Diceros bicornis minor: one gene and its partners. The protein of the gene in region 2 interacts with the protein of the main gene of each other region in a pairwise test. Links are inferred from orthologs where the notes say so. Each region holds a gene or a part of one and is shown on either strand. Other genes may lie near its edges.

Evidence for each region.
Region 1: the proteins of PRKAB2 (region 2) and CRX interact in binary tests that used the Homo sapiens proteins (3 or more experiments, as listed by UniProt). The link is inferred for Diceros bicornis minor from reciprocal best matches to the Homo sapiens genes PRKAB2 and CRX.
Region 3: the proteins of PRKAB2 (region 2) and BEND5 interact in binary tests that used the Homo sapiens proteins (3 or more experiments, as listed by UniProt). The link is inferred for Diceros bicornis minor from reciprocal best matches to the Homo sapiens genes PRKAB2 and BEND5.
Region 4: the proteins of PRKAB2 (region 2) and CDX4 interact in binary tests that used the Homo sapiens proteins (3 or more experiments, as listed by UniProt). The link is inferred for Diceros bicornis minor from reciprocal best matches to the Homo sapiens genes PRKAB2 and CDX4.

Annotation. Positions count from the first base shown.
Region 1 is NC_080773.1:23,297,788-23,304,992, reverse strand, and holds CRX (cone-rod homeobox protein), read right to left. Parts: upstream 3,021-7,205; 5' UTR 3,015-3,020; coding exon 2,915-3,014; intron 2,151-2,914; coding exon 1,999-2,150; intron 1,121-1,998; coding exon 473-1,120; downstream 1-472. UniProt on the Homo sapiens protein: Transcription factor that binds and transactivates the sequence 5'-TAATC[CA]-3' which is found upstream of several photoreceptor-specific genes, including the opsin genes.
Region 2 is NC_080743.1:52,464,989-52,472,864, reverse strand, and holds the start of PRKAB2 (5'-AMP-activated protein kinase subunit beta-2), read left to right. Parts: upstream 1-4,859; 5' UTR 4,860-5,002; intron 5,003-5,168; exon of another isoform or gene 5,169-5,259; 5' UTR 5,260-5,284; coding exon 5,285-5,440; intron 5,441-7,876. UniProt on the Homo sapiens protein: Non-catalytic subunit of AMP-activated protein kinase (AMPK), an energy sensor protein kinase that plays a key role in regulating cellular energy metabolism.
Region 3 is NC_080752.1:12,544,454-12,552,184, forward strand, and holds the start of BEND5 (BEN domain-containing protein 5), read right to left. Parts: upstream 3,018-7,731; 5' UTR 2,953-3,017; coding exon 2,919-2,952; intron 1-2,918. UniProt on the Homo sapiens protein: Acts as a transcriptional repressor.
Region 4 is NC_080781.1:66,733,500-66,741,147, reverse strand, and holds the start of CDX4 (homeobox protein CDX-4), read right to left. Parts: upstream 3,007-7,648; 5' UTR 2,910-3,006; coding exon 2,408-2,909; intron 1-2,407.

The DNA of each region.
Region 1 (7,205 bases), on a different chromosome or scaffold from region 2:
GTCCGTCTTTGGAATTTCTAGAAGGATCTCTAGCCGTATGCTAAAGAAGTGTCCCAAATCGAAAGTTAAGGAATCGAGCCTCCCTACCTGTTTGTTCAAGGGCATCTCGATTCAGACCTAAGCATTACCCCCAAGTCAACCGCAAGCTTGGTTTACTTTCGTCTCCGGGCTAGTTCTCAGCACCAGTTTTCTGAAGTCTGGGGTTCATGGTCTAATATGCCAGTTAGAATCCACGTGAGATGGTGTTGGGGTTGAGAGAATTACTAAGACCCTGTTGAGCTGCCCCAGGACAGGGAGGAGCCTCTCTCCCAGGGAGGAAAGGGGTGGGCCGTGTTCAGCTAAGCCACACACGAAACCAAAGAGGCCACAACCTTTGGAAGGACCGCTAGCTCCTGCTCTTTCTCAGGGACGCTGTCCAAGTATCTAAGCTGTAGGGAGGCAGATTTAGACAAGAGGTGGAGAAGAGTATCTTCTACAAGATCTGAAACTTCCAGGCACTCTGATCCTTGTAGTCCAGAGGATCCATGGGGTTGTAGGTGAATTTCCAGGTGCCTGTGGGGTCCTTGAATTCCAAGCTGTCCACAGGGCTGTAGGCGCCATAGCTCTGGCCTGACAGGGAGGTGGGGGACTGGGCCAGGGAGGGTCCTACAGAAGGGCCAGAAAGGGGGCTGAGAGCTGGGCCCCCCAACTGGGGCACCATAGGAGAGAGATAGGGATCCAGGCCACTGAAGTAGGAGCTCGGAGACCCATAGGCTGAGGGGGAGGAGCATAAAGCAGAGGCGGGGGCATATGTCATGGCATAGGGCGCTGAGGGCAGAGAAGGCCCCGAGGCCACAAGCCCAGCGCGTTGGGCCTCAGGCAAAGGGGACTCTGAGGCTGGACTCCAAATGGACACAGTGGCCACTGCCGTGGTGGGGGAGCCTGAGGGCCCAGGTAGAGGGGGGCTGTAGGAATCTGAGATGCCCAAGGGGTCTGGACAGACATCTGTGGAGGGTCTTGGGGATGCGCCTGCCTTCCTCTTGGCAGGACGAGCCTTGGCTTGTGTTCCTGGGGGCTGCTGCTGCTGTTTCTGCTGCTGCCGCTGCTGTCTGCACTTGGCCCTGCGGTTCTTGAACCAAACCTAGGGGGGAAGAGGGGAAATCGTGTGAGTGAGTGGGCAGGAGGCCCAGGAGAGCCCTCGTGGTGCCCAGGAATGATGATGCTTATTGGTGAGACATGCCAGAATCATACTTCTCCAGTTTGCAATCAGTTATGGGGCACTCTATCTACCCACCCATCCATCCATCTATCCACCCACCCGTCCATCCATCTATCCACCCACCCACCCATCCATCCATCCATCCATCCATCCACCCACCCACCCACCCACCCATCCATCCATCCACCTATCCACCCATCTACCCACCCATCCGTCCACCTATCCATCCATCCATCCATCCAATCAGTTAATTAACACACATTAACCATCTTCTACTACTTTGAGGATACATCAGCAGAGCTGGCATTCAAGTTGAAAGAGCCAGATTACAAATAAACAGTAAGTAAGTAAATCACATTGTATTTTAGAAGGTGATAAATGCTATGGAAGAACCTGTTGATCAAGATGGGGGAGCAGTAGAGCTGGGTCGGGGGAAGATGGCAACTTTAAGTGGGATGGCCGGTGTGAGTCTCACTGACTGACAAGGTGAGTTGACTGGCTGACTTGAACAAGGTGGTGGGGAACGTTCTGGGTGGAGAGAACAGAGAGTGCAAAGGTCCTGAGGCAGGAGTGGGCTTGGCGGGCACATTACAGGAAGAACAAGGGGACAGTGTCGCCAGAGTAGAGTGAGAAGGGATGGGAATGGAGGAGAGTGGGAGAGAGGAGGCCAGTGAAATAACAGGGATGAGGGATTATTAGGGCCCTTTATGACTTTGGCTGTTACTCTATGATCTCTTCCTCTTCCTTTCACTCTGGGCCCAGGAAGGGCCAGGAGGGGCCCAGGGACCAGAACATCCCACCTGAACCCTGGACTCAGGCAGATTGATCTTCAGAGCCACCTCCTCGCGGGCATACACGTCCGGGTACTGGGTCTTGGCAAACAGGGCTTCCAGCTCCTCCAGCTGGCTCCGGGTGAAGGTGGTCCGTTCCCGCCGCTGCTTTCTTGGGGCGCCTGGGGAGAGGACGGGAAAATGGGACCCTCAGGGGGATCCAGGCCTCCCATTCTCTTCCTCTGCTGGTGTGAGGCCCTGAGGGTGCGTGGGACGCTAAGAAGCCCTTTCTGGGTGTTTATCTGCCAAATCTGAGGGGGCGCCTATTCTCTGACCTTCTTGACCTCACTCTGTCCATCTGGGAAATGGGGTCCCTCTTTGCCTGTCATGATGGGGCTCAGGCCTCACTCTGAGGAGACCTGTCTTTAGCCCTGTAAGGAGCTGTAAGAGCTTGGTTTTCACCCCCTTTCTAAAATTTCTTATGCACTAAGACGCACTCAGTTGAAACATGACATTGCAGATAATTAACCATTTCTAGCCTATAAAAGTGGCAGGTCCATCATGTTCAACTGAATAAGAGAAAAAACAACTAAAGAATAATGCCACAAAAAACTGAGTGCTCACTTCTCTTAGAAATAAAGCATTGCTAACAGATGGAACTTCCTCTGGGTCCCCCTTCCAGATCGCTTCCCCCTCTGTCACCCCAGAGGGAACCACTACCCTAAATGTCTATGAATGTCCTTCTGCTTTCCTGGCTCCCTAGGTGACACGGAGTAGTGTTTTGCAGTTGCAGATGAACACATATGGCTGGTGTATGGCTCTATGATTGAAAAGCCACCTTGTCAGTCATCCCTATAAGTGCCCATCTTCTTCCTGAAGGCAAGGGACCCCAGAGGCCCCCAAGAGGTGGGGGCCAGCCTGTGGTGGGGAGAAGGACTGTACTCACTCGGGTAGGACACAGCTTGGTGCATCAAATCCACACTGGGGGCACTCAGGGCCAAGGCGTTGACAGAATAGTGGGGCCCCGGGTTCATATACGCCATCATGATCTTCACAGACACTGGGGCCCAGGACAGGGGCCTGTAAGAGAAGAAGGGGCAATGCTCAAACACTTCCAGTTACTCACACAGTGGTGACAGGCAGGCTCAGGTTCAAATCCTGCCTCAGTCTCTTCTTGGGTATGTGACCTTGGGCAATTTATCTCTCTGCGCCTCAGTTTCCCTACCCATAAAACGACCCTCTGCTTAAGGTTGTCAAAGCTTCATGGAGAGCCTGTCTGTAAAGCAGAGAGCTGAAGCTGTAATGGGCATCCTACATGGAAGCCCTTCTTCCTACTCTGTCCATTAAAAAATCTGATCCTGTCACTCCCTCTCCAAGATCTTTTCATTCTATGACCCCGGAAGAGATGTTCAGCCTCATGCAGAATCTGGGAGAGTAGGGTGACCAGCTCTCTCTGGGTCTGCCTGGGACGGAGGGGCTTCTAGAGGTGTAGGACCTTCAGCTCCCAAACCAGAAGAGTCCCAGACAGACTGGGATGGTTGGTCACCCTAAGAGAGTGTACATTAAAATGACAGTGAGTTATGATCTTCCATGACCATTTTTGACCCATCAGGTTGGCAAAGATAAAAGAGGTTCTTTTTGTTTTTTTGTGTGTGAGGAAGATTGCCCCTGAGCTAACATCTGAGCCAATCTTCCTCTACTTTGTATGTGGGATGCCGCCACAGGGTGGCTTGATGAGCAGTGGTGTATATGTGCATGCCCAGGATCCAAACCCGTGAACCCCAGGCCACCGAAGCGGAACACATGAACTTAATCACTATGCCCCACTGGGCTGGCCCAGATAAAAGATGTTTGATGACTCCAGGGCTGGCCTCAGTGTGGAGAAACAGGCACACTCGTGTCAGGTCGGCAGCAGCGAGGATCGGAACAAATTAGAAATATTTATCAAAGAAAAAGGCCATCTTTTCCTTCTCCCAGCAATTCACCTTCACTGGGTGCTTCAGTGACCTCATCAGAAAATGGGAATGAAAATAGCATTTATGTCTTTAGGTTGTTGTGAGGGTTAAATGCATTAACGTCCATTTAAGGTGCTCAAAATAGTGCCTGACACAGAGTAAGTCCTATGCAATTGTTGGTGATCATTGTTGTTATTTACGAGTAGATGTTTCTTTTTTAATGCAGCATCTTTAAAATCGCCAAAATGTAGAAGCAGCCTATGTGCCCACCAAAGGGGATATATTAAATAAATTATATAAATTGTGTAAATTCAGTCAGTTATGTTAAGTAGATTACGGTACATGTGTGCAAGGGAATACTATATGGTCATTAAAAAGTAGGAGGCTACTTTCTATGAATTGATTTTAAAAGATCTCTAGTATATAGTTAAGAAAAATCATCCTAAGCTTGGCAATAAGACAAAAGGATGACAGCCTGTCATTTCCAGGTCCCCCTGGAGGCTTGTCCTACAGACCCACACAAGGATCATTTCATTTTCTAGAGAACTGTGTCTTTGTTGGATTTATCATTCACTATTGATTAGGGTACTTACTAATTACTTCCTAATTATTCTGACAAGGTAAATAGTAACTTCTAGAAGTTTGATTGCCAATGATTCCACTGATAGAAAAGAGAACCTCAAAGGATACAGTTTGGTTCCCCTGTAGGACTTAAACCAGTTTCCTATCTAACCTGGCAAACATTTTTCAGCAGTTATTCGTTTCCTGAATAACTGTATTAATCTCTGTTCCTTGAAGTCTCCTTTGAAACAGCTGGTCCCCTCGTTTAATGGCTTAAATAAATCTTTGAAAGTCAGGTTTTTAAATATTTTTAAATTACACTTTGACAATAGGGGTGTGTGGTGTGTGTATGTGTATTATACAATATATATTATGTATAATTTGGTAATATATATTATATAATATGTACATATACAATATATATTATATATAGTCAAAGGAAAAAAATATGGTGCTGAGCAGTGTATATAGCATGCTACCATTTGTGATTTTTAATACAAGGTAGTGATTACATATATATTTAATATATTTATCTACTATGTATTTATAAATATATTTAATTTATTCAAAAATAAATTTAACTTAAAAATATAAATATATAAAATATATTATAACATCTATTATATATTTTATATATTATATATAACATCTGTTTATATATGTAATCGCTACCTTCTTTTAAATATATATATAATACATATATATGTATATATGTGCTTATATATTCATAGAAAATTGCCAGGAAGGACACACGTTGTGGTTAGAGTGGCTGCCTCTGGGGAGGTGCGCTGTATCCATACCTTGTTTATACAGTTTGTATCACTTTTGAACCGTGTGTGTGTTATCTTTTCAGAAACAAAAACAATGATAAGAACTAAAAAGAAAAAAACCATGAGAACCTTTCTAGGGCTTCCTATTGCCCTCGTTAGCTTGGCCTCAGGAAACCTCTCGGCCTCTCCAGATGCTGGCATAAGCTGTTCCCAGGGCCAGGAATGACTCCTCTGATCCGGACCCCCCTCAGCAGCTCACCCTTCTCCTCCTCCAGGACACAGCTCAAAATATCACTTCCCGGGGGAGCCATCCCACACCCTAAACTGGGTTTCTCACACACACACACACACACACACACACACACACACACACACACACAGACATACTCTTTCTCTCTCCTGTTCTGCAGGACATCATGTGTATTAAATATGACGTATTTATAAGTTTGTTTACCTGTTTGTCTCCCCAGTCCCTGCCGGGTCTCCAGGACCCCCAATAAATATTTGAAAAATAAGCCAATGAATAAAAAACAGATGACATTAATTTAGGTCCTGCCCCTTCCTTCACTTACTGTCCCATCCTTCTCACCCCCCATTTGGGAGGGAGAGTTCTATTTATTATAAATTGACTCTACTGTCCACTCAGTAAATATTTTTTGAGAGTCAACCATGCTCTAGGAACTAGAGATATAGCAAGAAATAAGACACACAGCCTCTCTGCTCTCACAGGATTGAACTTCCAGGTTCCAGTCAGAGAAACGGGCAGTGAACAAGGAAAGAGATTTTTTAGAAAATCAAAATCCTTTCAAAGACTTTCAAGAGCTCTGAGGGAAATTAAACGGGGTCATCTGAGAGTGATGGGGTTTGGGGTGAGGATGAGGCATCTAATTTAGATGAATGACCAGGGAAGACCTCTCTGGAAGGAGGTGACTTTGGAGCTGCAAGATGAAGGACTCTTATCAGTGAAGATCTCGGGGAAGAGGCTTCGGGGCAGAGAGAACAGCAGGTGCAAAGCCCTGGAGGCTGGAATCGTTTTGTCTTGTTGGAGGAGAAACAAGCTGTCCAGTGTCACGGGAGCAGAGAGATCAAGGGAGAAAATGACTTGGATTATAAGACTTGATAGGAAAGTCATGGGAAGGCTCAGTGCTGATAATAATAATAAAAGCAAGAACAACAACTTTCAATCCTAAGAATCAACAGCCTTCCTCGGTAGTGCCCCGTAATCTTCAGCCTGGTATTCACACCCTCGTGTTGTTCCCTGTCACTGAGCAGGGCAGATGTGTGCGACCAATAGGATATTGCAGACAAGACAGTGTGACTTCCAGGGTTGGGACTTGGTCCAAGGAAAGCCAGCTGCCATGGTACGAGGACACTCGAGCAGTCTCATGGAGAGGTCTGTGTGGCCAGGAACTGAGGCCTCCTGCCAACAGCCACGGGAATGAGCCACCATGGAAGTTGATTCTCCAACCTTAGTCAACATCTGACTATAAGCACGAGAGACCCTGGGCCAGAATCATCCAGTAAAGCTGCCCCTGGATTCCCGTCCCTCAGACACTGTATAATATCATAAATGTTTACTGTTTTAAGCTGCTAAGTTTTGAGGTAACTTGTTACACAGCCATAGATAACCAATACACAAGCCTTCTCTATGCAGGATGTCATTCAGTCCTCAGTATAACCTTGGGACATAGACACTGTATTACTATTATGTTCCCATTTTAGAGATGAGAACATCTTCAGGCATGGGCACCATGACTCGCCCAGGATCACACACAGGCTGTGGTGGGGAACTGGGATTCCAGCCCTGGAGAATTCCCGAAGGCCCTGTTCTCCCAGCCCCAGAGCACGGGTTCCCTCTGTCCTCTCTCCCTTCTCCAAGGAGCGGTGACATTTCATCGAAACCTCCGGAGAGAGTGGAAACAGGGAGATTTGTGAACTTGCCCTGCTAGGG
Region 2 (7,876 bases):
AATTTAACCACTATGCCACTGGGCTGGCCCCTGGTCCCTTTTCCTTTGGGTGGGCAGAATGTAAGAAGTTCACTACCACTTCTCAGCCTGTATAAAAACTATTAAAAAACAATAAAAAATAAAAAACCATGAAAGATCCTGAATAGCCAAAGAAATCTTGAGAAAGAACAAAGCTGGAGGTATTACACTTCTTCATTTCAAACTATATTACAAAGCTATAGTAATCAAAGCAGTATGGTACAAAGTCCTAGCCAGAGCAATTAGTCAGGAAAAAGAAATAAAAGGCATCCAAATTGGAAAGGAAGAAGTAAAACTATCACTATTTGTGGATGATATGATTTTATATACAGAAAATCCTGAAGACTCCACCAAAAAACTATTAGAACTAATAAATGAATTTAGTAAAGGTGCAGGATACAAAGTCAATATACAAAAATCTGTTGTGTTTTTATATACTAACAACAAACTATCAGAGAAATTAAGCAAACAATCCCATTTACTATTGCATCAAAAAGAATGAAATACCTAGGAATAGATTTAACCAAGGAGGTAAAAGACTTGTACACTGAAAACTATAAGACACTGATGAAAGAAATTGAAGAAGACACAAATAAATGGAAAGATATTCCATGCTCATGGATTGGAAGCATTAATATTGTTAAAATGTCTATATTACCCAAAGCAATCTACAGATTCAATGCAATCCCTATCAAAACTCCATTGGCATTTTTCACAGAAACAGAACAAACAATCCTAAAATTTGTATGGGACGACAAAAGATCCCAAATAGCCAAAGCAATCTTGAGAAAGAAGAATAAAGCTGGAGACATCATGCTCCCTGATTTCAAACCATATTACAAAGCTATAGTAATCAAAACAGTATGGTACTGGCATAAAAACAGACAAACAGATCAATGGAACAGAAGAGAGCCCAGAAATAAACCCATGCATATGTGATCAATTAATTTATGACAAAAGTGGCAGGAATATACATGGGTAAAGGACAGTCTCTTCAATAAATGGTGTTGAGAAAACTGAACAGCCACATGCAAAAGAATGAAACAGGACCACTATCTTATACTATACACAGAAATTACTTTGAAATGTATTCAAGACTTGAACGTAAGACCTGAAACCATAAATCTCCTAGGAGAAAACACAGGCAGTAAGCTCATTGACACTGGTCTAGACGATGCTTTTTTGGACTTGATTCCAAAGGTAAGGGCAACAAAAGCAAAAATAAACAAATGAGACTATATCAAGCTAAAAAGCTTCTGCATAGTAAATGAAACCATCAATAAAATGAAAAGGCAACTTATTGAATGGGAGAAAATATTTGCAAATCATATATATAATAAGGAGTTAATATCCAAAATGTATAAAGAACTCACACAAGTCAATAACAAAAATCAAGCAATTTGATTACAAAAAAAAGGAGTGGAGGATCTGAATGGACATTTTTCCAAAGACATATAGATGGCCAAGAGGCACATGAAAAGATGCTCAACATCACTAACTATTAGGGAAATACAAATCAAAACCACAAAGAGGGGACAGCCTGGTGGCGCAGTGGTTAAGCGCGCGCGCTCGGCTTCGGCGGCCCAGGGTTCGCAGGTTTGGATCCCAGGCACACACCGATGCACAGCTTGTTAAGCCATGCTGTGGCGGCGTCCCATATAAAGTAGAGGAAGATGGGGATGGATGTTAGCCCAGGGCCAATCTTCCTCAAGAAAAAAGGGGAGGATTGGCATCTGATGTTAGCTCAGGGCTAGTCCTCCTCACAAAAACAAAACAAAACAAAACAAAAACCCCACGAACAGATATCACCTCACTCCCATAAGAATGGCTATTATCAAAAAGAAAAGTGGGGGCCGGCCCGGTGGCGCAAGCGGTTAAGTGCGCGCGCTCCGCTGCGGCGGCCCGGGGTTCGCTGGTTCGGATCCCGGGCGCGCACCGACGCACTGCTTGGTAAGCCATGCTGTGGCGGCGTCCCATATAAAGTGGAGGAAGATGGGCGCCGATGTTAGCCCAGGGCCGTCTTCCTCAGCAAAAAAAAGAGGAGGATTGGCGGATGTTAGCTCAGGGCTGATCTCCTCACACACACAAAAAAAAAAAAAAAAAAAAAAAAAAAAAAAAAAAAAAAAAGAAAAGTGTTAGGGAGGATGTGGAAAAAAGGGAATCCTTGTACACTGTTGGTGGGAATATACCAACAACAAGTATGGAGGCTCCTCAAAAATTAAAAATAGAATTATCACATGATCCAGCAATCTCACTTCTGGGTATTTATTCAAAGGAAATGAAATCAGAATCTCAAAGAGATTTCTGCACTCCCATGTTTATTGCATCATTATTCACAATAGTCAAGATATGGAAACAACCTAAGTGTCTGGCTAGAGATGAATGGATAAAGATACAATGGAATATTATTCAGCCATGAGAAAGAATAAAATCCTGCCATTTGAGACATGATGGAGGGATCTTGAGGGCATTATGCTAAGTGAAATAAGTCAGAGAAAGACAAATGTATGGTATTACTTATATATGGAATTTAAAATAAAGTTGATCTCAGAGAAACAGAGGGTAGAATGATGGTTGCTAAGAGTTGGGAGGTGGGGGAAATGGGGAGATGTTAGTCAAAGGGTATGAACTTTCAGTTATAAGATGAATAAGTTCTGAGGATCTAATGTATAGCACGGTGACTATAGTTAATAATACTGTATTGTATAGTTGAAATTTGCTAAGAGGGTAAATCTTAAGCGTTTTCACCACACACAAAAAGGTAACTATTTGAAATGACAAGTGTATTAATTAACTTGATTGTGGTAATCATTTCACAGTGTTTATTAAATCATCACATTGTACACTTTAAATATATATAATTTTATTTGTCAATTATACCTCAATAAACGTAGAAAAAATTAAAAATAAAATCAATGGTATTTGTTTTCAAAAATAGTTTCTGCAATGGTTGAGTAGTGTCTTGTGTATAAACTTGTATCTTTCCTCTTGCTAAAGCTAATTTTTAAAACACTATAAAATTGTTTTAATTTTTTCATTGAGGTATAATTTTCATACAATAAAACTCACCCTTTTTAGTACACAGTTCTGTAAGTTTTGACAGACACATAACACCACTACAATCAAGACATAGAACTGTTTCATAACCCCTCCAACATTCCCTCCTGTCCCATCGTAGTCAACCCTTCCTCTCACCCTCAACTCCTGGAAAGCACTGATCTATTTTCTAACCCTAAGTCTTGCTTTTTCAAGAATGTCATATAAATAGAGTCTGGCTTTTTCCACGTCTCATAATGCCTTTGAGATTCATCCACATTATTGTGTGTATCAAGAGTTTAATCCTTTTTATTGCTTAGTATTCCATTTATGCCTATACTATATTTTGTTTATTGATGCACCAGGTGAAGGACATTTGTGTTGTGTGCATTTTGGGGGAGATATGAATAAAGCCACATGTGTTTTGTACAAACAAACATTTGTGTACAGATTGTGTGAACTTGTCTTTATTTCAGGTGAATAAATACCTAGGAGTGAAATTACTAAACTGCATTTTAAATGTATGTTTAACTTTATAAAAAAGATCAGATTGTTTTTTGAAATGTAAATCACCAAGATGAGATGTCATACCCATCCCTGATCACAAATGGGGATGGAACCTGGAGAGTGGAGATGGTAATGTAAACCTCCAGATGCCCAATCTAACCTATCATCCAGTTCTGTAACACCAATATACTCTTTCCCCATTCCCACATCCTCACCTCTCAGAGGAAGTAGAATACATTTAGCAGTGTGCATAAAAGCTTATTGTTCTGTGAGGCCTCCCATGCTCTCTGTTATTTTCCTCTATCAGGCAGAATGGCTGATCCGAGACCAGCGGCAATGATGTCTGAGATACGGTAACATCAAGAGAACTTCCACCACTTACTTTGCCTATTACCTCCTTCTTTTCCTTCCCTCTGGAAGGAAAGATAGAACGTTGATGCAACAGCAATGAGTCTAAAGGGAAAAATTATACTGGCATTGACTAACAGATCTTGTTTCTTTACCTAGTAGGGAATGAAACATGCATATAATTACCCCTATTACAAAGTAAGAATTAGTAAATACCATGAGTTCCATTAATTATGCGTAAAAACCTGGATCTGTCCCAACCAGAGGACTGTCTTTGCCCTTTTCCGCTTTTAGTGTTCCTTCTGATGTTTTTGTTGTTGCTCTCTTTCTTGAATTGTACTTCTTTTGGGATTGCTCATTGCATATGCTGTTTCTTAGCCTAAAATAGCTTTCTCCATCTTCTCCTTAGACTAAAATTTCTCTCCTAATCACTCCTTCTTCCCAGGGGCCCCAGTAGGGCTGACTGCACCCCCAGCACTTAGTTTTAACCTGGAGCAATTACCACTACTTCCTTCTGCCTTCAGTGGGAGGTCTGTTTTCTTATTCTCTATAGGAACCCACCTCTCCGGTCGCCTATCACAAGGACGCTGCCCAGAAAACGTTCTGGTGAACCTGAGGCCAGGGAGGGGGCCGGGAAGAAAGCAGCGCTGCTCCTCCGGGTACCCGAGCACCCGGCACCCGAGCACAGGGAGGCCGCCCCCAGTGTCATTCCGAGGCCATCTAATCCGCAGTGAGCGCCCAGTGGTCAACACACGAACGGCTCCTGGAGCAGGCTCGCCAGGCGTGCCGGTGAGCCCGGCGCGCCGCTAACTGTGCAGCTGGCGCCCCCGCCTGACGCTGGAGGCTGCGCGCGGCCGCCCACCATCGAGGCGACGGCGGCTAGAGAGGCCGGCGGGCCCCGGGCGCCGCGGCGGCGCGGCCGCAGGGTACGCGCGCCGGGCGGCCCCGCGCCACTGGCTTTGTAGCCATTTTAGGAGGAGACACGGTTTGCTAGCTGGGGCGCGGCTTCAACTTTAATAACTTTATTGGTGGCGTTATCCGTAGAGCAGGCGTCGCGCCAGTGGCTGGGGGAGGAGGGCACGCCTCGCGGGAGGTGATTGGGGGTGGGGGCGTCCCTGGGCAGGGAACGCGGGGATGCAGGAGAGTCGCCGAAAGCGGGTTTCCTGAACAGCGGGCAGCGAGGGAGTCGAGGGTTTCGGGCACTCCTGGAGGCCAAGGGAGGGAGGGGACCCCGGGGCGCCGCTGCCCTGGGGCGGGGATTCCCTTGCCTGGGTCCCCAGGGGCGGGGCCGGGGGCGCCCCTGACGCTGCCACTGGGGTGTTCCCCGCTCCGTGTCGTTCCCTACGGCAGGTGGCCTCCGACTCGAGCTGCAGCCATGGGAAACACCACCAGCGACAGGGTGGCCGGGGAGCGCCACGGCGCCAAGGCTGCGCGCGCCGAGGGCGCCGGCGGCCACGCTCCAGGCAAGGAGCACAAGATTATGGTGGGGAGCACTGACGACCCCAGCGTCTTCAGCCTGCCGGACTCCAAGGTGAGCGTCCCCACGCCTTCAGTTGGTGGCGATGCTGCAGTGGGCTGGGTGTCAGGGCGCCTCCTCCCTTTCTTGGTTCTTTCTTATCACACTGACTTGGGTTACAGTTTTTTGAATTAAAGGGATTTTTTGGAGACGAGATGTTGGATGGTAATTCCTCTTGCGGTGCTGCCTTAAGATAGGATAGAGGCGGAGTTCTTGTTTTCCGACTAATCTGTTGGCCACATTTTTAGGATTGGGACAGTGGACCCCCCCCCCCCTTCGAATACAGGTGCTCACTTCTAGACTATTGGTGAATTTATAGGTTATAACCCTGGTGGAAAACTTCAGAGGGTTAGGTTGCCTGAGTTGCTAACCGTAGGCGGCAGTGTCTCAGATTTGCCCTGAGGTGGTTAAATGAATTTCTTTTTCCTGACAACTTCTACGTATCAGTATCCTTTTTGCTCCACTGGGAGCTCAGCACTTCTGATCCTCTTCCCCTTTGGCATGGCAGTGAGCAGCAACCACTTGCTTATTTGAATACTTTCTCCTAATCTTGGGGACAATAAAGGACATCATTTCGCTGACTGCTCCGTTTTCATCCCATACTTTATAGTTGTGGCTGAGCTTGTGCTTCTTTCACACTCAGCTGCTCCTCAAGTGGGAGAGCAAATGATTCCAGGATTTCTCCACTTCTCAGTCGTACTTCATAATGTTACATGGCTGAAAACTGACAACCCACCGCTGCCCTGAAGACCTTGCTCTCAATTCCAAAGACTGAGGAAAGTGGCAACTTGTATCCACCCTAAAGAAAGGATAGATGGAGCTAACAACAATGTGATTACCATCTGAATGTTTCTCATCACTTTTAGAGCTGTCAGCATTAAATTAATTCCTCCAGGTAGTCCAACTGGGATGAAGTAGAAAAGTGGAGAGATTGAGGAGATTGGGGTGTGTTTGACGTTTCTTGTCACTTCATCCCTTCGCACCCAACTTGGGTTTTAGAAAGTATATAGAGAATGATTTGCCTCGTTGGTAGCACATGATTTTGGATTCTGTTTGTTTTCTTGGATCCCAATTGAGAACATAATCACAGAAAGAGAAGCAAGGGTGATTGAAAGGACCACTTCTTGGTATTTCTTCTCCATTCCTTTTTCCTTCTCCCACTTCAGGACTACTTCCTCATCATTTGGGCTGTCTACCCAGCCATCTGAATTTACTTCTTCAAAACTTTCTCAAGGTGATCGACCTCATTGTATTTTTACCCTTTTCCTACATTGATGACTCAGGATTTAAGTATAGTGTATTTGTCAAACTGTGACCGCAGTAATCAGTGTCCTGAATAAAAGCCAAGTTGCTCTATCTGAAATGGAGCCTATTTTGGATCATTCTTACTCTTACCTCAGTCTTGCCGTTTGTGAAATAAGAAAATCAGTTCAGATAATTCCTAAAGTCTCTTCCAAATCTAAAATTTTGTAGTTCTCAATCTACTTTCTTTACTTCTTCCCTCAATGTTTTATTTGAACATTTTCAAACTATAGTTCTAATTGTTTTGTCTCTTTTCCTGATGATTTTGCTGACTATTTACCTTGGAGTAAACAATCTTTCTGCTAGTCAGCTGCACTCATGCCTACCACAGAAATGTCATGTCATATGTGGAAGGGCTTCCTTCCAAAGCTAGGCATATTAATAGTTTGTAGCTTTCAACTTCTAAACTGAAAATACTAAATCATCAAAGTAACTGATAGAAACAGTGGCAGTGGAGCCTACATTGCTTCCACTGCCAGCCTTCTTCAGTGGACTAGTTCAATGGTTCTCAATTGCACATTAAAGTTACCTAAATTTGTTTAAACACTTCATGGAAAATTTGAAACATTTTCCATGTTTCAAAGTAGAGAGAAAGTGTAATAAACTTTTAAACTTTTAGTTTAAACAATGATCAAATTGTGAATGAATTTATATCATCTATACCCCAATCTACTCTTCCCCCACCAATTATTTTGAAGCAAATTCCAGACATTGAATATTATTTTACCTATAAATATTTTAGGATATATCTCTAAAGATGAGGTTTCTTTCTTTGTTTATTTTAAAATAATCACAGTATTATTTTTCTGAGAAACTTTTTAAAAATAGATTCCCAGGTCCTATATCCAAATCAGAATCTGAGGGTTATTCTTAGGCATATGTGAAAATTTCTGTAATTCTAATGGAGCCAGTCAAGCCTCTTGCATTGCTTTAAGAATATGGAGGTCAAGGTTTTCTCTTAAGCCGCTTCCTTACATAATGTGAAAGTCCCTTCAATTCTCTTTCTCCGTGTACTTTGGATTATGCTGCTACTGATGTCTCATAGTGTAGTTTTGAGGGATATTGAGAGACAATATGGAAGGTAGATTACCTCAGCCATTTTGAAAATAAAGCCCAAATGAAGAAGCTAGCCCTTTTTTTTTTTAACCT
Region 3 (7,731 bases), on a different chromosome or scaffold from region 2:
TAGGAATCTGAATTAAGAAACAAAGATTGGGCCGCCCCGTGGTTTAGCGGTTAAGTGAGCGCGCTCTGCTACCGGTGGCCCCGGTTCAGATCCCCGGCGTGCACCGCCGCCGCACCGTTTCTCTGGCCATGCTGAGGCTGCATCCCACATACAGCAACTGGAAGGATGTGCAACTATGACATACAACTATCTACTGGGGCTTTGGGGGAAAATAAATAAATAAAATTAAAAAAAAAAAGAAACAAAGATTAAGCCAGTTAATAGTGATTCAGAAGTTAAATGGTTTGGCTCCTACCTTCATCAGTTTTCTCTCATCAAGGTTACCAGTGATGCTAAATCTGCTGCTAAATCTACTTTTTCAATCTTCCTTTTTATATCACTTGGCAGCACTCAATCTGTTGAATATGCCATTTATCTCAAACCATTCTTTTGGTTGTCCTCTTATCTCTCTGGTTGTCCCTTTTCCGTCTCTTTGGAAGGCAATAAAATATTGCAGCTACTCAACACTTAATCCCAAGCCTCTTCTCCCCACACTCTTTACTTTGCCTCTAGGCAATTTCATCCACACTCATGACTTCAGCAATTCTCTCTATACTAACCCAAACTTTTCTTGTAAATTCAACTGCTTTGTCAATCTCTCCACTTATTTGGATGTCTCAAAGATACCTCAGACTCCATATGTCCAAAACCAAACTCATGTCCTTCCCTTTCAAACTTAGCCAAGATCCCTTCAAATGCTCTCTATCTCCATAATGGCACCACCAACCATCCAGTTGCACAAATTAGAAAATTAGAAGTATGCCTTGATATTTCCTTCTCCCTCATGCCCATCTTTCACTAAGTCCTATTAATTTTATCTCTTAAACGTTTCTCAATTCCTTCACTCCATCTCCATTGCTACCTTCTAAGAGGTCTCCCAATATCCACTCTTGTATCTTCTGCACTATCCACACTGTAGCCAGAGTTATTTTTTTAATGATTCTAATCACGTCATGCTCCCACTTTCAAAAGCCCTCAATGGTTTCCTTTTATTATTAGGATTTTGGACCAAAATTGGTATCATAACCTATAAGGCCCTGCAAGATCTGCTTCAGCTTACCTCTTTTCTCCTCCTATTGCTCTATATGCAGCCACACTTGCCTCATTTCAGTTCCTTAAACACAGCACATCCTGTTTCCTCTTACCTTAGGGTCTTTGCAGGTAGTTTCCCTCTGCCTAGATTACTCTTTGCCCTTCTCTTCATTTATTCAATCTCCATTATATCTCAGCTAAAATATCACTTTCTCTGAGAAAGCTTCTTGAACCTCTAGACAATATCAGGTCATTCAGTTATTCATTTAACAAATATTTATTAATAACCTACTCTATACCAGGAACAGTTCTAGATACATGGGCTTAACAAACACAACAAAGACACTTGGCTTCATGGAGCCTATATTCTAGTGGAAGAAGACAAGCAATAAGCAATAAAAATAAGAGGATTAAATAATACGTGTGAAGGCAGTAAGCCTATGGGAAAGAAAAAAAAAGAACAAGGTAAGAGAATCACAGGCAGGGAGTTTCCAGTGCCTAACTTGGTGCACAGCATATAGTTGGCCCTCGATAAATATTTGTTGAGTGGAGGAATGAATAAAAGAATGAGCAAGTTCAACTTATGAGGAAGCTTAAACTACAAAATGAGTAGATGAACTACTTGGTGGAAGAAACAGAGGTGCCATGAAAAAAAAGAGAAACCATTCGGGTCTTGAACCATTTTTGATGGCTTCATACAGTTTCCAGTTTCAGTCACTGTGTGGTCTTACCATAATCACCACCTTCCCCACCCACAAGGGCTGGATAATTCAAGTGGGTCACTCTTGTAACCAAAATACCTAATCAGGACACCTATACAAGATTATGTATACCTCTGCCATCACCTACCACCACATATATCCCCAAAGCCACTGCTTTTCTACACACACACATATATCATTTGTACTGAGGCTCCAGTTCTACAGTCACCAGCCACTTCTAGGGACAAACTCCCTCTCACACACACAGGACTGTGAAAACCCTGGCTCTCGTCTATAACCCTCTAAGACACTTAGGTCACTATCTCTCCAAGCCTGACCATACTCACAATGGGGTCCCCTCAGGAATAGGATCCTGGGTCTCCCTTCCTGTCAGTCTCCCTGCACCTTAAAGGCTATCTTCCACCCACAGATATGTGGACATGCACCTCTCTGTGATTCTGAATGACCTTCAAGATCACTGATCCCACATACACTCACACTCAGGTTCCAGCCTCCTTTGGTAAGATTCTGAAGGACTGGGGCTCTGGGTGTCCCCTCAAGTCTCTTGTTCTCTTAAGGACCCATGCAAGGATTTGTATACTTTCTCTGTGGCCTGGGCTGACCCTAAGGCACTACATTTCCCCAAAACACAATACTCGGTGTATACCCCCCTTCCATGGCACTGCCTGATATGAAAGTAACGTTCCTCCACATACACCTGCCTTCTCAGAATGAGACCCTCTCCTCTAAACCATGCCCCTTTAGGGAGCCTTCCCATATTCCCACAGGACTGTGTACACCTTCTCCATGACCCAGCCTACCCCACCATCAGCCCGCATCACAAGCGCCCCTCAGGACTGGGGTTCTGTGTCTTCCTGGGATCCCAGCCCTTTCTGGGCCATGCTCACTCAGGAGTGTGCACATTCCCTCATACATCCCCGCACCACCGGGACTCCGAGGTATCTGCTCGTCCCGCAGAGGGGTACACACCTCCTTTGACCTTTGACCCCGAGGTCATAGCCCCACCGCGCAAACGCCCAGGGGCTGCCTCCTCAGGAGTAGGGCCATACCCAAGTCCCCTGTCCCCTCAGGCCCAGGACAGCCTTGCTGCCTCACCGCTTCCCCTGATCGACCGCCCCCACAGACCTGCCTCAGGCGCCGTCTGGCTCCGCTCCGCCATTTTTTGTTGTCCCTCCGCCTCTGAGCCCACGCAAAAATCGCGGGGCAGTGAGGAGCGGGCGATGGGATCAGCGGGCTGACAGGAGCTCCCTCAGGAAGACGCGGCGCGACGGTTGCCAGGGCAACGGGCGGCCGGCGCCCGGGCGGCAGGCGCGTGGCAGGGGCTGGGGGCGGGCGAGGAGGGAGCGTGCGTCGGAGGCCCCGCCCCCGCGGCTCGCGAGCCCTCGGGGGCCGGGCGCCTGGGGGGCTGGGAATTCCGCGGCGCTTCTCCACCGCAACCCCGCCACGGCGTCCTGGCAACTGAGCATGCTCAGCCGCCTCTGGGGTTCCAGGACTAGGCAGGTCTGCTGGGATGGCCCTCTCATGCCGCCGACGTGTGTCCTCCTGCTGACCGCAGAGGTAGATGGGCTGGCTTTTCTTTGGTTGGTGCTCAACTCTGGGGGCATGAGACAGGTTTCTTGATTTCCCAGCGCTTCTCCCCCCAGTGTGCCTGGCCCTGGTCGAAGTGCTGGATAACTTATGTCTTCAACTGAAATGCACTGAGAATCAATAATTCTGTACCCACCTCACCCCGAACACCCAGAGGCCCGAGATCGGGCTCCTCGCCGCTTTACAACTGCCCCTGCCACCGACTCTAGAAAAGGCTTCCCTTGTGCTGGGGTATTCCTCAATATATCTAGCATGACCTTTCCCATCTCTTCATGGGGAATCGCCAGTATCTTCTAAGACCGAGCTAGAACATGACCCTTTCCTGAGCTGCTCTGTCATCCCACAGTTCCCCATACACCCCTGTTCTAATAACACTTAACAATGCTCTTTGCATTAGCTACTTCTGTCTTCCTCACTTGAGGGTGAGCTTCCTGATGCCTGGGGTTGGTCTCTTCATCTTTGTGTACTCCATAATACAGCATAGTGCTTGACGCAAATTAAGCGCTCAGGAAATGTTTATGAAATGAAAAATGATTCCGGAATTCACTCCTACACATTCCTACCAGTTTTATTGAGCGCTTAATTTTTTAACAACTACCTTGGTAGGTAGGCCCCTTCTCCTCAAAGCGCTCACAGAGAAAGAGAGAAAATGGCTTGGTTAGAGGTTAATTAGTGTTCGAAGTGCTACAGGATTATAGAGATGGAACTCTAAATTGGGGGTGGGCGGGGACCAGTGAAGACTTCAAAGAGGAATGGACACCCTAGCTGAGTCTTGAAGAATGAATAGCTGTCAGCCAGGCAAAGGAGAAGAGTATGCAAGGAAGAAGGAGCAGCATGAGCCATGGCACAGAGTGTAGGGATGAGCAGTGAAACTACAAGAAGCCCAGTATGGCTAGAGTACAAACCACATAGGGCAAATGGTTGTCTCTAAAGAAGCTCCTGTATAGTTAAGTAGTGTCTTCACTTGAGTTCCTCAAAAGCAGAGCCTGAGGCAAGGACTTGGGTGCTGGTAATTTGTTTGGGAGGTAAGCCCAGGAAACAGAAGTGAGGTGGAGAGAGTGAAAGAGGTAAGGGGAAAAAGCCAAGAAAAAATGTGTTATTGAGCTGATTGCTCATTTAGTAGATGACTGGGCTTACTGTCTACTGGAGACACACTGAAGAACCACGTGGAATGTGCCTCAGCACTGTCCCACTAAAGAACAAGGAGACTGGGTCATTTACCTCTTAATTTCCACCCCCATTGGTTGAGGGTTACCTCCAGCCCCCAGCTTAAACTCTTTCATATTTTCTGCTTTTGCTTGCCCAGGTCTAAGCAGCCTTCCAGGGTTTGAGAGAAAGCCTTGAGGCAGAAAAGCAGAGGGCCCAGAAAGCTTTTGGGGTGGAATGCTGGCAACATGCATGGAACTATCCCTTCGCCTGCAGTGAAATCAGGGATAAGGTGTGGGCACCACAACAATCTTCTACAGAAAGGTACATGAAAATACCCCTCAGAAATATCCCTCACGTTTAAGAAGTTTAAAATTCACAAGCCATGATAACACAACTATCAAGATGAAAACACACGAGCTTTCACAAATCAATCCTAATGACTGATAAAGAGTGTGAGGGCTGTAGGAATTTCAGTGTGAGAGGGGTTGCTGAGGGCTGAGGAGGACAAAGGAGCTTCATTAAGTATAGGAAGATGGAAAAAAGGAGTTTGAAGACCCAGGTTCTACTCAAACTCTGACCTAATAGTTTTATAATCTTGGATAAATCATTTATACTCATTGAGCCTCAGTTTCCTTTTCCAACAAACTGAGACAAAGGCCCTGCCTACCACAAAGAGTGCTCTAAGTCACGAATGGGATGATGGATTAAAATGCATTTGACAAGTTTAAATCTAGCAAATAAAGAACCTAGCACGTTTTAGAATAATTCACTTAAACATCCGTTGATTCCTCTTCTGAGCCAGACTCTGTGCAGATGCTGGAGATAAAGAGGTGAGTATAACACTGTCTGTGGTTTCTAGGAGCACGTAGTCCAGAAGGGAAAAAGAGATTTAATCAGTAATTACAACCTAGAATGATCAATATTCTGATAGAAGAAAGCATGAGAGGCTGTGGGAGCCCAGAGGAAGGGCACACAACCGAGCTTGGGGTACAGGGGATAGGTAAAGGGTTGTTCAGGGAAAAATTCCTGGAGGAGAGAGTATCTGATCTGACTCTTCAAGGGCGAGTAGGAGTAAGATGGGCAAAGAAAATGGTAGTACAGGGAGAAAGGGTCGTTGAGTCAACAAAAAGAGCATGGGCAAAGAAAAGAATAGTGTGTCAGAGGTGAAGAGCAAGGCGGGAGTGGTAAATCAGTAGGTAAGGGCAGATTCTGGAGAACTCATATGTGGGGGACTGGATCCTGTAAGTGACAGAAGCTCATTGACAGATTTTTAATCACTTAAGTGATTTTAAGTCCCCAGTCAGGGACCTGGTTAGTTGCTCTAGTTGCTGTGTAGAGAGTAGATCAGAGCCAGGAAAATCAGGAGGCTGTGTAGTAAATAATCTATACAAGTGTGTGTAGCATGTAGAAGGTTCTCATCAAATGGTAATTTGAAATACCAACAAAAACATTTGTACAGAACTACATTGTGCAATTTAAATTTTAAATAAAATTTAAAAATCAGTTATTTAGTCAGACTAGCCACATTTCAAGCACTCAATAGCCACATGTGGCTAGTGGCTATTATATTGGACAGCATATGTATGGAACATTCCCATCTCTGCAATAAGTTCTGTTGGACAGCGTGGATAGACAAATACCTGGGCAGAGGAGATGGAATGCCTGGAAAAATCAGCACTTAACAGGACCAGGTTCAATTCTCCTGTGTGTCAGCTCCTCTTCAGGAAGCAGTGCGGGAGGCAGGTTAGACTTATTCATTTCTGCTGGAGTCCTCAGAGACTTCCTTCTTATTGTGTGAATAGCACAGATTGGGGAGGGAGATAGAAATGCCCCCCACATGGGCTCCTGGGAGTTGGTTTTCCCAGGCTACTGTTCAGAGTGTACCTGGGAGGTCTGCCTTCCCCTGGGATCTCCTGTGGTTTCTGTCTCCAGAGACAGCCACCCATCCACCACAGAGCTAGGGTGGCTTCCTTCTAACAAAATATTCCCTATAGGATTCACTCACTCCTTCTGTGAACATTTATTAAAATGGTGCCTTCCCTGTGCCTGACACTGGGTTAGATGTATTCAATTATATTCAATTATAGTTACATTTCTCATATGCACAAACTCATTTAATTCTCAAAGCAACACTATAAAATTGGCATTAATGTCATCCTCCTGTACAGAAGATGAAATTGAGATTCAGAGAGTTTAAGTGACTTACACAAAGTCACACAGTCAGAAAGTAGCAGACGCATGAAAGACTGGAATGGTGCTAAGAAATTCACCTATGTTATCTCATGTAATTTCACATCAAAAATCCCATGCCTTTGATGTTTACAAACTAATTGGGAAGAAAAGATTAACACACACAAATCCAGTTTACAATTAATTTCCAAAGAATGTGATGAGAACAGTGACACAAGGATGCTCAGACAAGTGTAGGAGCATCAAAGAAGGATGCCCTTGGTGAGCATCAGGGAAGGTTTTCTGGAGGAAATGACCCTTGAGCTGAGTATTAAGGATGAGGGGGTTCAGCCAGATGAATTGTAGGGTCTGGAGAAGAGAGATGAAAATACTTTTTACTCCAACTTGTCATTTGTATTTCTACTTTGCTTATTGTTGGTTTGGCCTTCTAGAAATGTCATCAATCTTTTCTTATTTGGCTTTTAAGTTTTGTTTAAAAAAAAAAAACAACTGCCCTATGCCAAGGCTATAAAAGAATTATTTGAGAATTTCTTCTTAACTTGGATAAAATATTTAAATGTTAAAACACGACCAAACTCAACAGAAAGAAAAATATTCTGATGTTGAAAGGAAGAAAGATTTCAAAGGTGTGAAGTCATATGTCCTTGCAGTTTTCTCTGCCCAGAATGCTCTTTTTTCAGATATCTGCTTACGGAACTCACTTCATTCAGGTCTCATCTCAATTGTTACGTTATTGGAGAGGTCTTCCCTGACAATACTATTTAAAATGTACTCCTTAAACATTTCATAGCTTTTATAGTATTGTGAATAGTATCTTATGTTCTATAATTTTTTCTATTTGCTTTGCTCATGTAGACAAATGCTATTGATTTTGTGTTAATATTATAATTGGAAAATTCCATGAACTCTCATATTATGTCTAACAGTTTGTTGATTGTTTCAGATGTTTTTCTTTTTTTTTTTTAAAGATTTTATTTATTTATTTATTTTCCCCCCAAAGCCCCAGTAGACA
Region 4 (7,648 bases), on a different chromosome or scaffold from region 2:
TCTTTAACTCACCGCTATTTAAAACATTTTTCAGTAATGGAAAGAGCTTTCATTTGATTACCTTAATCAGGGAGAGGTTACTTCCATTTTGTAGTTCATCTATTTTCTTCTCAGCCATAAGCCAAATGTTGTCCCACAATACTATAGAGTGAAGTAGAAAATTTAGGAGAATCCGACTCATTCATTCATTTAACAAATATTTATTTAATACTCACTATGTATTAAGCACACAAATGGGTGCATTTTGGTTTGGAGTGATCCAATGAGATGATCAGCTTCATTTTTTTGTAGAGTTCATAACTTGAGATCCATGAAAGGGCTTCAGTGGATCCATGAATATCCCAAAATTATTTTTAAAATGATGTGTGTGTGTGCGTGTGTGCGTGCAGGTGTGCTTTTGTGCATTTTTCTGGGGAGAGGGTCCATAGTTTCCATCATATTCTTAAATTGTTGCTAAATATGCACCTTGGGCTACAAAAATATAGCAAAGTGGTAGTTTTAATTTATAGGACGTTAAAATGATTGAATTTAATAAAGTCTCATCTATAGGATAGGCTGCCAGGAGTCAAAGGAGGTCCAAAATCATTCAATTTTAAATTTCTCATAGAAGTTGGATAGAAAATCTTGTGAAGGTGGCATTGTACAGCCAGGTACATAGCTTCACTAATGATGACGATACCACAGACTAAGTAGTCTCTTTCTAAACTCTCTTGGCACCAGAATTACCTAAGAGAGAGACTCTGGCCCATAAAAGCAAATCCAAATGGAAGACTTTAAGCAGAGAAACTTGTCGTATTTTCTCTTATAAACAGAAAATTCATGACTCAAGATTTCTTTTATCTTGTCCCTTTTTCCCCATCGTTCTCTCTTCCAAACAACATACAGATAACTTTCCTCTTCTAAAGTGTTTCAAAACTTAATCCTGGACTGGGAGCAGCTACTTTCCTGTCTGTTGCTAATGGTTAGGGCTTAGTGAATGGACGTTAATTACAACCCTAAGATTAGATGTAATAACAGCCCTGAGTATGCCCCACCCTAACCTCATTTTCTATTTATTCTATTTAGTCAGCCGACTCACCTATATTTTTAAAAAATGCAGATTTACTTCCAAACACTTTAAAGCCAAGTATTTAAGCTCTACTTATACTTTGAGATTGCTGCCCTAGTATGTCCTAAACTGCCTCCTCCCGGCTGAATCCTCTTAATGGTAAAAGTTGATCCCTTCCCACCCTCCCACCTTTACTTTTTGGAAGGGAGAAGAAGTGCAGAATTGTGAACAGGAGCATAATCATTGTGGACAGATGCTATTGAAATGTCATTTCCTCCCCAGAGGGATGAAAGTGATGGAGTCGAATTTTACTAATTTTCTCGAGTCACAGGGAGCAACGGGTTGGAATAATAAGAATGTGATAAAAGAACAACTACAGCTGAAAACAAACATCTCCCCGCCTACCACCTCGTCCAAGATTAAAACAGAGTGCCCACTTCCCCCGCCCGCGGGTCCCAGCAGCCGCCCACTGGCTTGCTGGTAGGAGCGTGGGTCAGCGTTAGGCTGGGCTTTCTGGGCCTTCACCGCGCGCGGTCACTGACCTGCATCCAAACCCTGCGCCTCGGGACGCCTGCCGGGACAGTTATGAGGGCTTTAACCACTTAGTGCTGGGGCTGATATTCGAGCGCGCCCAGCGGATGTTAGGGTTTGAGTAGTTTACTATGTCCATGCGGTGTGCTGTACCCTTCCTCAATGCCTCCACTGGCGGAAAGGACATTGAAAGAAGGCATTGGGTTTGAGTCCAGCTCACCTCTGCCAACTTGGGCGAAGGAAGCTGGAGCTTCCTTGAGAGGCCAGGGTGAGGAGGCCGCTTTGCCATTGGGGCATTCGTGGCTAAACTGGAGGGTCTGTTGCCAGCCAAGCACCGTGAAGCTAAGTTGAGCATCACGAGATTTTGGGAGAGGCCGACTCGCCCACGTAGGGAAGAGTTTGAAATGCAACGGGCAAGCAGCAGTGACTGAGCCTCCGGACACCGTGGCTATCTTTTCGCCTCATTCACCCTTTGATCTTTTCCGTGCATCTGCTTTCCCATCTGGGCAACTACAGGGTTGGATGCTGATCCTTGTGACTCAACATGCCCACTGTTCACCCGCTTGCTTCCTTGACTGATCAGGGAATGATGAAAAACACCCCTAAGGTCGGTTTAATTCCAAGTGCCACACACTGTGGGCTTTGAGCAGGGCTACACGCGAGGGTGGTCACTAATGGGCGGGGGCCCTGGGCAGTCAGCCACGCAGTGGTCTCCTCAGCTAAGCTGTCTCAGGAGAGGCCCGAGGAGTAGGAGGGCGGGCAGGCCAAGGGAAGTAGACGAGAAGCAAAGGAAGGAAAGGTGTGAGGGCATTAGAATCGATTACTCACCAGTCACCTGCACAGTCTTGCGCATCCACGCATAGGGGCTGTGACGACTTCTGCTGGGAGAACTGACACTGACGGTGCTGGCGTCGATGGGGAACAGTGACCCGCCGGCTGGGGCTGGCAGGCTGCCACTGCTGCTTCCACCGCCCGCGGGTCCCAGGTTGCTGTATTCCGGCGATCCAAAAGCTGCGGGGCTCGAGGTCATGTCGTTCATGGGCACCGCGCCCATTGTATTTGATGGCCCTGGATAAGCGCTCCAGTCTCCCCGAGGGGGACTATAGGGTGGGCCCCAGTTTCCCAGCGGCGGCCCGTGAGGATCCATGCTGGGTATATGGGGATACCCCATATAGTGTGCGTAAGCTGGGGCCGCTGCAAAGTTGGAGGCTGGCAGCGGACTCCCACCGCCCCCGGTGCCGACAGCCCCAGCGGTGCCGCCCCCCGCAGGGCTCCTGAGAGTGCCCGGGTACATGCCCGCTTCTTTTTCCAAAAGGCAGCTTCTGTACATGGTGGCTTGGGTATGAGGAAGAAACTCTCTAAGCCATCCTGAAATCCCTGTAAGGCCCCAACCTGACTCTGAGAAGCAGCGGGGAATCAATAGGTCAGTCCGTAGCTGTGCTGCAAGCTCCTCTGCCCCCCTTAGGCTACTCCATCCCGCGTTTCCTACCCTGACTGTTTCCAGGTGACTGGTAGCCCAGTATAGATGGGCCACCAATGGCTGGGCTGACATCAAGGGGCTTCAGGCTTTTACATAGCATTTGCATTCAAATGAAGGGCCATTTCACTTTCACAGGGACTTGTTCACTCTGCTCCCTCTCCCAGAGCTCCTGGGCCTTTCTGTCTCATCTTTCTGGCTTTTGTCCATCTGTTCCCCATAGCACTAGTCTTGGGCTTTTGGAGGCAGGAGCTCCCCCAGAGGTTTCTGACTGGCCCCCTCCAAAGTGAGATGGAGACTGCAGAAGCAGGGTCAAAGTCCTGCTTTTTGGAATTCAGTCCTTACCCTGAGCGTCTCTTCCCTTTCCACTGATCTTCCCGCACCCAGCCTGCATCCATGGTATCCCCTCTGCCCACATTCCCTGGCAGGAGTACTTGACATGGCACTGGTACATAATACCACTGACAAGAGCTTTCCCTTCTCCTCATTGCCCCCTCCCCCAGGAGGAGGGCTTTGTGTGTAAGGATAGGGATTCATTTCACAACTATATATTTTATGCTTACTGTGTGCCAGGCACTGTTGTAGGCACTGGGGATACAGACGTGAACAAGAGACAAACATTTCTGCTCTGCCTTCCTAAGGTTACATTCCAGTGGATGACAGGCTAGATTAATTGGATGTTTTACAAATATGCACAAATTAAAGAAATATGAAGAGAGTAGGTTATGAAAAAGGGAAGGAAAGAGGGAGAAGAACCATGTGAGTAGTGGGCTTTCTTATTTTCATATCAGTTCACTAGTCTCGGGTGTCTCTTTCTGCCAAGTATGGCTTCTGCCTCAAAGCCAGTGCACCAAGCAGCCAAATTCCTGCAGTCTGAAATCCAAGGAAGCTACAGCTCCCAATTTTCTTTACGCTTAAGGAGATTTCCTTTGTAAAGCTCCAATTGTTGAAAAAGACATGGGCTTGCCAGTAGATGCCAATAAACTCAAGATTTTTCTTCCAGAAACCAGATCACCTCCTGACCACAAAACCAATCTCTATCCCAGTGTTTCTTCCACCCCCACCCTTCCCCATCCCTTCCCCCCTCCCAAAACCTGCCACAACCTTTAGTCCAGGCTGTGCTCCTACTCAGGGAAGGTGCTACTCTATAAAGTCCAACCCAGCCTGACACCCCCATTAACTACTCCCTTTTTGGCTTTGGAAATATCACTTTACTTCTGGGAGTTTCAAGGTTTTTCCTTGTGTAAAATAAGGATCTTAACAGTGTCTGCATTGCAAGGCAGGATTTGCTGCGATAATGTATGCAAACTGCTTAACTTAGTGCTTGATACATAGTATGAGACTACTGTATTAATTAATTCATTCAACAAGTATTTATTTAGTGCTAGGTGCTGTTCTATGCGTGGAGATGTAAACAGTGAACAGACAAAGCCCTTGACTTTATTAAGCTTATATTCTAATCAGGAAAAACACTAATAAGTAATTAAATTTTATGGTATATCAGATGGTAATAATCAATGCTGTGAAGAAAAAGAAAGCAGGAAGGAGGATAGGGAATGCTAGGGGGTGTTGCAGTTTTAAATGTGGTAGTCTAGGAGGACCTCACTTAGAAGTGACATTTAAATAAAATATAGAGGAGGTGATGGAGTGAGCTAGGAGGAGAGGACCCAGACAGAGGGAACAAGTGAAAAGAGAATGTCTATCTTCTACTGGAGAAACAGCAAGGAAGACAGTGTGGCTAAAGAATAAATGAGGCCCAAAAGCTAAAAGGGAGTAGATCATTGTAAAGATTCTACTTTTTGCTCTAAGTAAGGTAGGGAGACATTGTAGCATTTTGAGCAGATGAGTGACATAATTTGACTTAAGTATTGAAAGGGTTACTCTGGCTGTTGTATTAAGAACAGACTGTAATTGAGTTGTCAGTTTTTTTTTGTTGTTGAGATGCATGAGTTCTTTATATACTTTGGATATTAACCCCTTATCAGATATATGCTTTGCAAATATCTTCTCCCAGTTGTCAGGTTGTCTTTTATATCAAGGAAATGCAAATCAAAACTACAATCAGATATCACCTCACTCCCTTCAGAATGGCTATAATTAACAAGACAGGAAACAACATGTGTTGGAGAGGATGTGGAGAGAAAGGAACTCTCATATACTGCTGGTGGGAGTGCCAACTGGTGCAGCCACTATGGAAAACAGTATGGAGATTCCTCAAAAAATTAAAAATAGAACTACCAGATGATCCAGCTATTCCACTGCTGAGTGTTTATCCAAAGAACATGAAAACACACATGCATAAAGATACATGCACCTTTGTGATCATTGCAGCATTATCCACAATAGCCAAGACTTGGAAGCAACCTAAGTGCCCATCAAGAGATGAATGGATGAAGAAGATGTGGTATATACACACAATGGAATACTACTCAGCCATAAGAAACGATGAAATCCAGCTATTTGTGACAACATGGATGGACATTGTGGGTATTATGCTAAGTGAACTAAGTCAGAGGGAGAAGGTCAAATACTGTATGATCTCCCTCATAAGCAGAAGATAAAAACAACAGCAAACACAGAGACAGAGATTGGATTGGTGGTTACCAGAGGGGAAGGGAGGAGAGAGGAGCGTGAAAGGGATGATTAGGCACACATGTGTGGTGATGGAATGTAATTAGTCTTTGGGTGGTGAACATGATGTAATCTATGCAGAAATCGAAGGATAATGATGTACACCTGAAACTTACATAATGTTGTAAACCAATGTTACCGCAATAAAAAAAAAAGGAAATGTAGTCCAACCAAAACAATAAAGTTGTATTTAATAGGAAAAAATAAAGTATAGACTGTAAGTGGGCAAAATAGAATCAGGCTGATTAATTAAAAGGCTATTACAATAATCCAGGTGAATGGTATTGGGGATGGAGAGAAGTGGTTGGATTCTGGATATACTTTGAAGCCTGCTTTGGAGAAGGAGAAAGAGGAGAAGGAACAGCAAAGACTAATTAAAGCCTGGCACTGGGGAGAAGGGACTAAGGGGCAGGAAAGTAACATACCTATATGCACTTTTTGCACATGATCTCATTTAATCTTTACAACAGCCCCATGAGTTATTTACTAGCATTTCCATTTTAGAGATGAAGAAACTGAGGCTCAGAGAGGTGGCATGACTATTTATTTATTATTATTTTTTAATTATTATTATTTTTTTTTTGTGAGGAAGATCGGCCCTGAGCTAACATCTGCCAATCATCCTCTTTTTGCTGAGGAAGACTGGCCCTAGGCTAACATCCATGCCCATCTTCCTCCACTTTATATGGGATGCCGCCACAGCATGGCTTGCTGAGCGGTGCATTGGTGCGTGCCCGGGATCCGAACCGTGAACCCTAGGCCTCCACAGCGGAGGGCGTGCACTTAACCGCTTGCGCCACTGGGCCTATTTAATGACTATTTAAATGAACTACTGGTGTGTAATAAAGCTAGGTTTCCATCTTTGGCCACCCTGACTTCAAAGTTCCTGTTCTTAAATTGGAATCCTGCTAAATGTACGACCTCAGGGCTTGGCCCTGGGGCTTGACTTCTATTTTCTTTCTTTGCTCAGGCTCCCAGGTTGGCATTCAATACTCATCATAACACAGACTCAATTACCCTTACGTTATTCTCTTTCACCTATTCTATCCTGAGGCAAACTGGTCTACCTGATATTTGAAAAACTATGTCAGGATGGAAGCACATAGAGGACCTTTAAAAGTTAGCTAGCCTAATAATGCCATTTTACTATGAGGAAACTAAGGACCTGAGAGGGGAAAGTATTCTTTAAGGAAGTAAATGACAGAACTGAGATTCAAACTCAGGTCTGTTGACTCCTAAAGCGACATTCTTTCTACCAAAAAATTTATCTTTGCTTATGCAGTTCCCTCTGTCTAGACTGTTTTTATCCATAAAAAATGTTCAAATTCTCCCTATTCTTCAAGGCTCAGCTCAAATGCCCCCTCCTCCCTAAATTCCTATGTGATGATGCTCCACTCAGAAAGCACTCTTCCTCTTGTCTGACTCTCATTACCAACTCCCCTGTCCCACTGACTAATAATATTCTTGTCTACCTTAGAGTTATTTGGGGTCTTATCTGAATCTTCTGGCATTTGAGCACTTTGAAGGGGTGTGAGGAGGTGTGTTTGAGCCCAGCAGAGTGGAGTGTCATGCACATGGTAGAGCCTTGGGAAATATTTGTGTGCTGAATCAATAAATGACCTCAGAACTATAGACTGGAAATTACTATTTTGACCCAGCTCCAGGGATATCTGGAAGAGAAGCCAGTAAGAACATTGTCCAGTGCTTGGCAGAACCTGGCTTCAGGATTACTCTGTTTTGTGTTTTTGTTTGTTTGTTTCCAGTGGTGTAGGAGTGGGGTGGGGGTGGATAGGGAGGTAGGAGAGGGAGGCAGACAGGCAGGGAGATTCAGTCTAGTTTATTTGGCTGGAAACTTTTATTTCTTTCTTTACCTGGAGGTTAACCAGAGAGGTAGCCTCACTGCAGGACGCAGAGTGGCCAGCAGCAGGAGTCAAATCCCATGTACTAAAGATCAGGGCTCA